Linked DNA regions of Drosophila melanogaster. The protein of the gene in region 2 interacts with the protein of the main gene of each other region in a pairwise test. Each region holds a gene or a part of one and is shown on either strand. Other genes may lie near its edges.

Region 1 (4,719 bases), on a different chromosome or scaffold from region 2:
GTAAGATCGCGGATCGGTGGATCCAAAAATATATATGCGCGGTATATAGTCGGAATATAGTCGATTTTTGGTCCGCAGCAGACGCGCGTTCGCCGCCAACGATAACAAACAACTGAGCTGAAAAAAAGGCGAGCGAATGCCTGCAACATGTGGCATGCGGCCTTTCCAGGTGCCCCGCCCACTGGCGCCGCCCAGCCGACCGCCCAACCGCCCACTTTTCACCCAACCAAGCACACAACGCACTCATTCAGCGCGCCGGCTGGCAATTTATGAATGAAAAGCTGAACGGGAAAAGCTCCAAAGAAACCAACGAACGCCAAGTTCAAGGTGAAAAGCCCTTTGGGGGAAAAGCGCGCGCCGGAAAAGCTCAGGAAATGAAAATGCGCCGAGCCAAAGGGAATTTCCTAATGAAATTCAAATAGATAATATGTATGTGCCAAAAGGAAATAAACTAAGATATTATGTCTATATCTCGCATATACTTTGCAATAGAATTAGTTATTTAAATTATTTATTATATTTATTATTATTACGCAATAAATAAACGATCTGTTCAATTTTTCGATAAATAACTTATTTAATAGCAACATAATTTACAATACAAGTAGAGCACAAATGAACGAAGGCTTAAAAAAAAAAAACAAAAAAAAATTTGAAAAGATCCCTAGGTGGAGTGAGTGGTGGACTCAGTAGTGGTGGTAGTTGTGGCCCTGTTGCTGCTGTTGCTGCTGCTGCTGCTGCTGCTGGTGCTGCTGCTGCGCCAAGTTGGCCTGGGCGAAAATGTGCTCCAGCTCGGCATCGGTCAGCTGGTCAAAGATGCCGCCCTGACCACCGATTCCGGCACTACTGGCACTCAGGGCCGACGGTTGGGATCCCACGGGTGGCAGGTAACCTGGAAAATATTCGTTTGAAATATAGCATAATAATATATATCCATAACGTCATCTGAGCTCACCTTCAGCTGGCGCACTTCCGTATGGCGGGAGCAGGGTGATCGAGGGTCGATTCGGCGACGCTGGCGCGGATTCGGTGGGTGGACTATAGAATACCGGCTTCCAGGGCTGCTGGACGGATGGCCGCTGTGGTGGCACCTCCGACGGCGTCTCCGGCTCGGGTGATTGTGGGGGAATCTGCGGCGAGGCTATACCCGTGCCGGATTCAGGGCGGACGGGAGTGGAGCCCGGCAGCGGTACAATTCCGCCGGGGAATTGCGACTCTGGTTGGCCAAAAGTGGGTGGCTGCTGCGGCAATGGTGGCTGTGGAGCAGCCGGAAAGAATTGGCTAGTTGGTGGACTGGGGAAGGCCGGGACCGTGGGTACAGCTGGAACTCCTGGAACGGAGGGAGGTGATGGAATGGCTGGCGCCTGGGGGAACTGGGGAATCTGGGGAAAGCCGGGAAATTGAGGGAATCCGGGAAATTGTGGTATTTGGGGTATCTGCGGTATGGCCGGAATCTGTGGAATGGCGGGAACCTGTGGCACTTCTGGGGCTTCTGGTGCAGCTGGAACTGCCGGCTGGGCGGGCACAGCGGGTTGGGCTGGCACCGCTGGCTGAGCGGGCTGGAAGCTAAAGGTCGGCACACCGGGGAACTGAGGCGGTTGTGGGAACTGAGGGATCACCGGCAAATCCACAGCTGGGGGAGACGGAACACCGAAGGTCACTGTAGGTTGGATGGGTTGAACCGGTTGAAGGGGCTGAACCGGTTGGATTGGGCTAACTGGCTGCAGATGGGTGGTCACCGGTTGCACCGGTTGAAGGGGCTGAATGGGCTGGAGATGATGAACTGGCTGCACTGGCTGCACGGGCTGAACAGGCACTGCCGGAGCAGTCGGAGCATAGGTCTGCACATAAGTGGGCTGCAACAGAAAAGAATGAAATGGTCAACGGGATATTCCACAAGTTTCCTATGTAGCTAACTCACCTGCACGGCATGCACATGGCCATGAGCCGGAGCATGGAAGTGGACAGGCTTTACGGCGGACTGAAAGACCACGGGCTTCTGCAGGTGCTGGTGCGGATAGTTGACGCTGTACGAGGAGACGACCGCATTTCCGGGACGCAGGACGTACGAGGGCGGAGCCACGGCGGTGGACAAAGCGGTGGCCACGCCGGTGGACAAGGCAGTAGCGACTCCGGCGGGAATGGCACTGGCCACGCCACCGGGCAGACCGGTGGGCAATCCAACGGGCAGGGCTGAGGCGACGGCGGGCAGCAGGGCAGCGGGTGCGGGAGCTAAGGCGGGCAGCAAACCGGAACCGGAAACGAGCGGCTTGACCAGACCATGGCCGTATTTGACGAAGTGGCGGCGCGGAGGAGCGGCGGCCAGGAAGGCACTGCCTCCTGGCAGCTGCAGGCTATAGCCGTAGTGGGCGGCATAGGTGCGGGCGGGCCATTGGCCGTGCAGGTGGGCGTGGCCGTGTAGAATGCCACGCTTGTGCTTTCCGGTCGTGACCTCCACTTCCGTTTCCGGTTCGGTAACCACACTGGCCGTTGGGGCACTCTCCGCCACCGATTCCTCTTGTAGCGGGGCATCCTCGGAGGTCACTGTCAAAGTGGGCGTTGTGCTGGCGGGGGGCGTGACCGATCGACTGGTGTGACGCAAACGTAAGCCCGCCTCAGCTCGATGAGAAACCAAGATGACAGCCAAGACCATCAGAAGATGGAGGCTCCTCGAACTGGCCAAGAGATTCATTTCGATTCAGTGGACTTGATTTCTATATGCGTATATTTGGACACTATGTAATATATCGCCTCGCCTCGCGTTTAATCCGTTTGCTGCGATCGCCGACAAGAAAATGAAATGAACTTCCTTGGTCGCTGTTGTATTTATAAAGCGGACATCGCGGCACAGTGGAGTGGCACATACCCACTGTGCATACCAATCGGTGGCACTGGTGGTGCTAGCAATGCACCACCGTCAGCGGCTCATCGGCATGGCATACGGCATGGATTGGGCAGTTTATGACTTTTACGCTGCCATTTCACCTGCCGCAATCGAAGACCCCTCACCCACTGACCACTGACCACTGAGCAGCGCCTCATTATGCTGCGCCACCTGACCACGCACTGTGGTACCGTAGATTGTGCGCATATATATGGTATGTATATTCCTCAAGTATGGAATATTCCTACTACACTTCATATCTAAGTTTACTTCTTATTCAGATATCGAGATTATTATCATAAAAATCTAAAAGGCTAAAACTCTATATAGTTTGCCAACAACTTTGCCCACTAGTCCCACTGATTGCCTGGCCCCGCTCCACTGTCCCATTGGCCGGAATCCACCTACGCATGCGCAGCACGTTGCCGCACGCACCAAACTTTTGCTTTCAATGGCCTGCATGTTCCGCATGCTTTTTGTGCTCAGTTTTTTTTGTTTTTTATCGCCGGACTCTTTTCACTTTCGATTGCCGGAGATGGAAGGTCCGAAGGTTTATGATTTGGCTGCAATTTAGATACAAATCAAATGTGTCTCCGCTTACATAATCCGGCCAATAATATGGGCGGCTATTCGGGTGTCCAATCCGTGTTAATCAGTCGCCGGGTGAAAGCATAATAAAGCCATTGTAATAAAAGCAAAAGCGCACAATTGCAAAGCACCAATTAGCAATTACCTATTAAGCATGGCACGGTCAATTATTTTGATGGCATTTCAATGCTATTATTTGAATTTCGTTAAAATTCAACATTCACACGCATAAATTTCACCTGCACTACATCTGATGGCGAACTGAAGTCAATAGATAAGTGGATAGTTTCTGCATTATATCACATCCCATCGCCGTAAATGGACTTTCGATTAGCCTACATGGAGATTTTCACTTTTTTTTGGAAACGACCCGTTGGGTGTGTGGAATTTAAATCGATTACAGTGCCTTACACCTGGCATCTGGTACAGTTCGGTTATTGGGCTACCACCATATCGCCCTTTGCATCTAAGTGGGTCTGGCACACAATCCTCAAGGTCTTTCCCAGGCCTTGCCGCCGGAGATGTCATCAGTTTGCCGTTTGGGTTTGCCTTTTGGCACATGAAGTACATATATTTGACAAAGAGCTACATAAACCTCAAAATGTAAACATACAGAAATAAAAGCCGCCAGAGGAGCTTGTTTAATTCGATGCTTTATGACCTGCCCGACGTGAGCAGCATGAAAAAACGCAAAAAACCAACAATATAGATTATAGTTAAGCCCCATCAAATGGTCTTAGGATTTCCTAATCGCTTACAACAAATATCATCCTCGGCTGTCACAGTTTGAAGCCGGAGTGAATGCTGACCACGCCGAAGGTTAGGTTCTCGTAGGACACCTGATCGAATCCGGCCTGCTCGATCATTTGCTTGAATTGCTCCTGCTTGGGAAACCGTCGGATGCTCTCAACGAGATACTGGTACGCCTGCCACTGACCAGCCAGCAATTGGCCCATGGGCGGAATCACCTGGAAGGAGTACTGGTCATATAGCCATTGCATCGTTTCGTTCGTCAGATGACTGAACTCCAGGCACATGAATCGTCCGCCCGGCTGCAGCACTCGATACGCTTCAGAAAGAACCTTAGATGGAAGGGAGAAATAAGTACAAAGAGTACATTTCATGATCCGCCTACCTTATCCACATGTGTGCAGTTCCTGATGCCAAAGGCAATAGTGTAGGCCGTAAAGCTAGCGTCCGGGAAGGGCAACTTCTCGGCATCGGCGCACTGCCATGCGACGGTGCAG
Region 2 (4,552 bases):
TTTACTCGTTGAGTTTTTGTAAGAAACTGATTTTATTTGGAAATATCTTCGGTTTAAATAGGTGACATGAGAATCGCATCTTAAAGTAAATGGCCTACGCAGAGGCCTAAGTAAATAGTCCCCGCCTTATCGAGGTCCCACGCTCGGGCACATCTGCCTATCTTGAGCGGCGAGGACCTTATCTGTGGTCTCCCACTAAGGGACTATTTTAGGAGGCGGGGAAAGATCTCAAGTGACTGACTCATGTAGTGTGCACTTAAATTACATGTTTTTGAGCAATGCACCCATGTCGCCTTAGATAACAAAATCCTAAATATAATTTATCGCTCTCGATTCATTTACATAAGATATGAACGGAGCCCAAAATTGTAAGTCTTTAAATATATTCGTGTTCATGTGTGAACAGTTAGTCTGAATATTTCTTTTTCGTATTTATTTTTATGTTTCAAACTAATCTTTGTATTGAATAACGTAACGTGATGAGCTAATCGATATTTATTTAACTTTTTCATGCGAACACAAATAATTTTTATTTGTGCAGCAAAACATTCGCTGAGAAGGCAAGACTCGGGAAAATTGCACATAGACAAGATCTTAGGCCATTAGCTTTAATTGCAAAAGTTTTGGGCCAAAAGCAAGTGCAATTCCAATGGCAACAGCAGTGGCAGCTGAAACTGCAACAAATTGCGTGGCTATCAATATTTCCGTGGCTGCATTTGATTTCCTAATGCATCTGCAGCCATTCATGTCCCGAAGTTGACAGGCTGGGATGCCTCCCATCATACCATGCATCCACCTCCGAACCGTCGCCCCTGTCAACGATTAACAATATCCGGTTGTGTACCCCGGCAGTAGCTATCCGCTGGCCCGATTGCGAGCTTGGTTTTAATTAGTCCTGCCCGTACGTATTTTCTATTGGCCAATTCACCGCAGAAGCTTCATTACCGGTCTACCGTGTGTGTCTCTTTCGCTTTGTGCGTGTGTGCTTCTGCAGGACAGATTGCGAGTCATTAAGTTGATGCAGCAGTAGCAGCAGCAGCAGGAGGAGGAGCAGGAGCAGGAGCAGCATCCGTGTAAGCCACACAAACAGGCAGTTAGAATGCCACATGCCACGCCCACAGCAGCGGTCGAGCCATGTCGAGGGGCTGGGCAGCTGTAACTGAATCGAAATCAGCATCAGCACCAACACCAACACCAGCATCGAAATCCATAGCCAAGCCCGGATCAGAGCAGAAAACGAAACAGAAACATGTCGAGAGTTAACCTTTGTTGGCGGTTTGCTGCTTTTTGTGCGCCGGAAACGGCAGAGCAACTCAATCAGTTTTTGCGGTTTATGGTGGCCCGGCCAAAAGGGACACGCTAATGGCTCACAAATGGCACTTGAATAATTGAATGCCGGAAACGGAGGAGAAAGAAAGCTCGCGGTATTAGCCAGCAATGCCTGCGCTTGGCATTGTCCGCTTTATACACGTAATCCACATGTAAACAAATTGCACAATTCAACTACAAATTAACTACGGATGTTACTAACTAATCTTAGGGTCTAAAGCGAAGCATCCTTCTTGTCCCTATCGCCCGAAGTCATCTTATCCGGGTCCGATTGCGGTTTCTCTTTGCCTTGTTGCAGCTCCTCACTATTCTGGCTGCCGCTCAGTTTCTTCCTTTCACTTGTAATTAGCTGCTGCAGCTCTTGGTCCCAGCCCAAGGCTTTGGCCAGAGCCATTACGCCAGCATCACAGTCGCCCAGAAAGGCCACATCCCTAGTGTTATTGGGCTTATCGAAGAGTAGCGATCGCGTGTTGGGATCCATAAAGAGCACACAGCTGGCCTGACCCACTGCATCGCGATTGATCAAGAGGCGAATGCAACGTGGTCCTGGTCTCCACACCAGTGAAGCAAACGGTTGCACTTCCAACGATGTGCCCATGATGATCAGCAGATCGCAATCCTGGAAATCCTCTTCAGGACTGGAGTAAAATCTCTTTGGCAAGTTTTCGCCAAAGAAAACAATGTCTGGTTTAACAACGCCTTGGCACTTTTGGCATTTGGGCAGACGATCGGCGAAGATCTCCGCCTTCATCCAGTCCATGTCGTACTCCTTGCGGCACTTAATGCAGTGGTTGGTGTGGAAGCTGCCATGGGCCTCAATGATCTTGTCCTCGGGCAGGCCAGTAAGCCGGTCTAGCGTGTCTATGTTCTGGGTGTAGTGGCGCTGCAGTAGTCCCTTGTCGTTAAGCAAACGGATAAAGTAGTGGGCCGGCGTGGGAATGAAGGATCCAGGGTAAAGTTCCTTGGCCAGTGCAAAAAACGGCGCTGGATTCTTTTCGAAGTAGTCCAGATCGAATATGGCCGTAGGATGTGGCAGCTCGTACTTCTTCAGATTGCTGTATAACCCGGAACCTGGGGATCTGAAATCCGGAATGCCAGCAGCTAGGAATGGCGATAACTTAGTAAGTTTTTACAATGGTATATAGAATGTACCAACATGTAGATATGCCGGCTCCCACCATGGTCACAATCTTGCGGAAACCATGCACACGCCAATGTTCGGCAAAGCCGTCAAAACTCAAATCTGGAATAACCTGCAAATTTGCGATTTAATCAATATGATAATCAAATTATCGGGTGCTCCGCTCACCTTCTCTACTTTAACTTCCTCCTTTGCGTCCGAGGAGCCGCCGAGATGTAGAGTGTTTGCAAAGAAGCGTCGAACCTTATCCATTGTGTCGTCTAGAATTCAATTCAATTAATGAGTGACAGTAAAGACCTAACTATTTAGACTAGCCTGGGGCCTCCTCGTCGTCGTCACTGGACGAGGAATTGGAGGGCGTCGTCGGTTGTTCCTCCTTCTTTACTTCGATGTCGCCCATGGTAAACAGATTCACCTTCCGGTGAAAGTATGTAAATCTGAGGATAGTGTGATGAATTCTCCCAATTGTTTATGTTGCGTTTTGTTTTAACGTAAAAAGCAAAACAAGTTCTGACAACTATCGATAGGTTTAGGCTAACGAATAAGTTATCTCTAACAGCTATTAAAAAGCTAGAATTTTAATTTCATTGCTTATTGATTTAGATTTTAAAATCAAATTTGTGCGAGCAAACCAAAATATTATAATTACTTTAAGTAGCCTATCAATGAAAGATTTTTATTTAACAGCGATTTATTAAGGGTCGCAAATAAATATGTGTTTGTAACGGTTAGAACATATTATGACTCATTAAACAAAAAGGAACCGAATAATAGAATAACTAAAGCTAAGAAGGGCGCAAAGTTACAAAATCGAGTATAGATAAAATAACAATTACACTTTGTTGATATCTGAATATAAACTAATTGAAAGGTTAAAATCAGCTGAATTGTCAGCACGGAGTGTCCAAATAATCGATAGCTGTTATCGACCCACCCAGTGTTAGGCTCTCTAGCGCCACCAGCCCTGGCCGGCCGATAGTCGATTACTCGATGTTCGGCGGGGGTGCAGCTCTGCCCGTTCGCTCAGCCCTGGAAAACCACGCCAGTCATTTTTGTTTTGATAAGGATACGGATACAAAAAGAGCGTGGCCTGGAAAAACTGCAGAAACGGCGGAGAAAGCGCCCCAAAAGCGAGCGAAAACGGTGGAAACTGATCGTGGGGAAGTGCGCGACAAAGTGGCCGCGGATTCAGGCCCTCCCAATCGCTACGTGGAAGCGTAAGCAGCGTGTTGAAGAAGAGAAGAAGAAGAAGCAGCAGCAGCGCAGCAAAAGTACACAGAAGTGCAAACCAGACGACTGAAATAACAAATCAAAAAAGGCCCCAAAAGGAGCGGCGCAGTGGAAGCAACTGCGGGGGCGGGGAATGGCCGAGGGTCGTCGGTGGCCGCCATTGTGTAACGCCGCCGATGGGCAGACTGTAGATCCACGCTAGGATCATATCTCTCGAATATCATGCATCTGAACCATGCGACAGCCGCCACGGCAGCCATGGCCAACTATCAGCACTACCAACTGCCAGCCTCCCATGGCGGTGGCGGCGGAGGAGGAGGTGGCGGTGGCGGTGGAGGAGGGAGTAATGGTGGATCTGGACCGGGTCCCAACTCGGGACAGCAGCAGCCCACCACACTGGCCAGCCTGCAACAGAGTCCCTTTGCGCTGCATCAACTCACCGCCGTGCAGGCCATCCAGCACCCTACCCACCAAGCCATGCTCCATCCACAGCACCCGCTGGTCCATTTGCTGGACATATCCACTACAACAGCGAACAGTGGCGGAGGAGGCGGGGGCAGCCACACGCCCATTTCTCCTATGAAACAGGAGGTGCAGAGCGTGATTAGCGAGGAGGAGGTGGTGGTGGACGATCCGCGCAAGAAGAAACAGTGCCACGTGTGCAAGAACAAGTTCCGGCAGCTGACCACGTTACGCAACCACATGAAGATCCACACGGACGAGCGGCCCTACAAGTGCAAACACTGCGACAAGGCCTTCCGCCAGATCTCGACGCTAACCAACCACGTGAAAATCCACACCGGAGAAAAGCCGTTCACCTGCAACATCTGCGCCAAGGACTTTCGCCAGCAG

Evidence for each region. The genes of interacting proteins can lie anywhere in the genome.
Region 1: the proteins of Sirt2 (region 2) and CG12723 interact in a two-hybrid assay, tested with the Drosophila melanogaster proteins (one large-scale study listed by BioGRID).

Annotation. Positions count from the first base shown.
Region 1 is NC_004354.4:13,189,081-13,193,799, forward strand, and holds CG12723 (uncharacterized protein), read right to left. Parts: upstream 2,804-4,719; 5' UTR 2,693-2,803; coding exon 1,922-2,692; intron 1,857-1,921; coding exon 956-1,856; intron 893-955; coding exon 687-892; 3' UTR 563-686; downstream 1-562. Other genes in the region: Coq5 (coenzyme Q5), read right to left, coding at 4,252-4,554, 4,608-4,719.
Region 2 is NT_033777.3:20,326,907-20,331,458, reverse strand, and holds Sirt2 (sirtuin 2), read right to left. Parts: upstream 2,995-4,552; 5' UTR 2,871-2,994; coding exon 2,786-2,870; intron 2,731-2,785; coding exon 2,639-2,730; intron 2,583-2,638; coding exon 2,486-2,582; intron 2,431-2,485; coding exon 1,544-2,430; 3' UTR 544-1,543; downstream 1-543. Other genes in the region: CG4360 (uncharacterized protein), read left to right, coding at 3,923-4,552.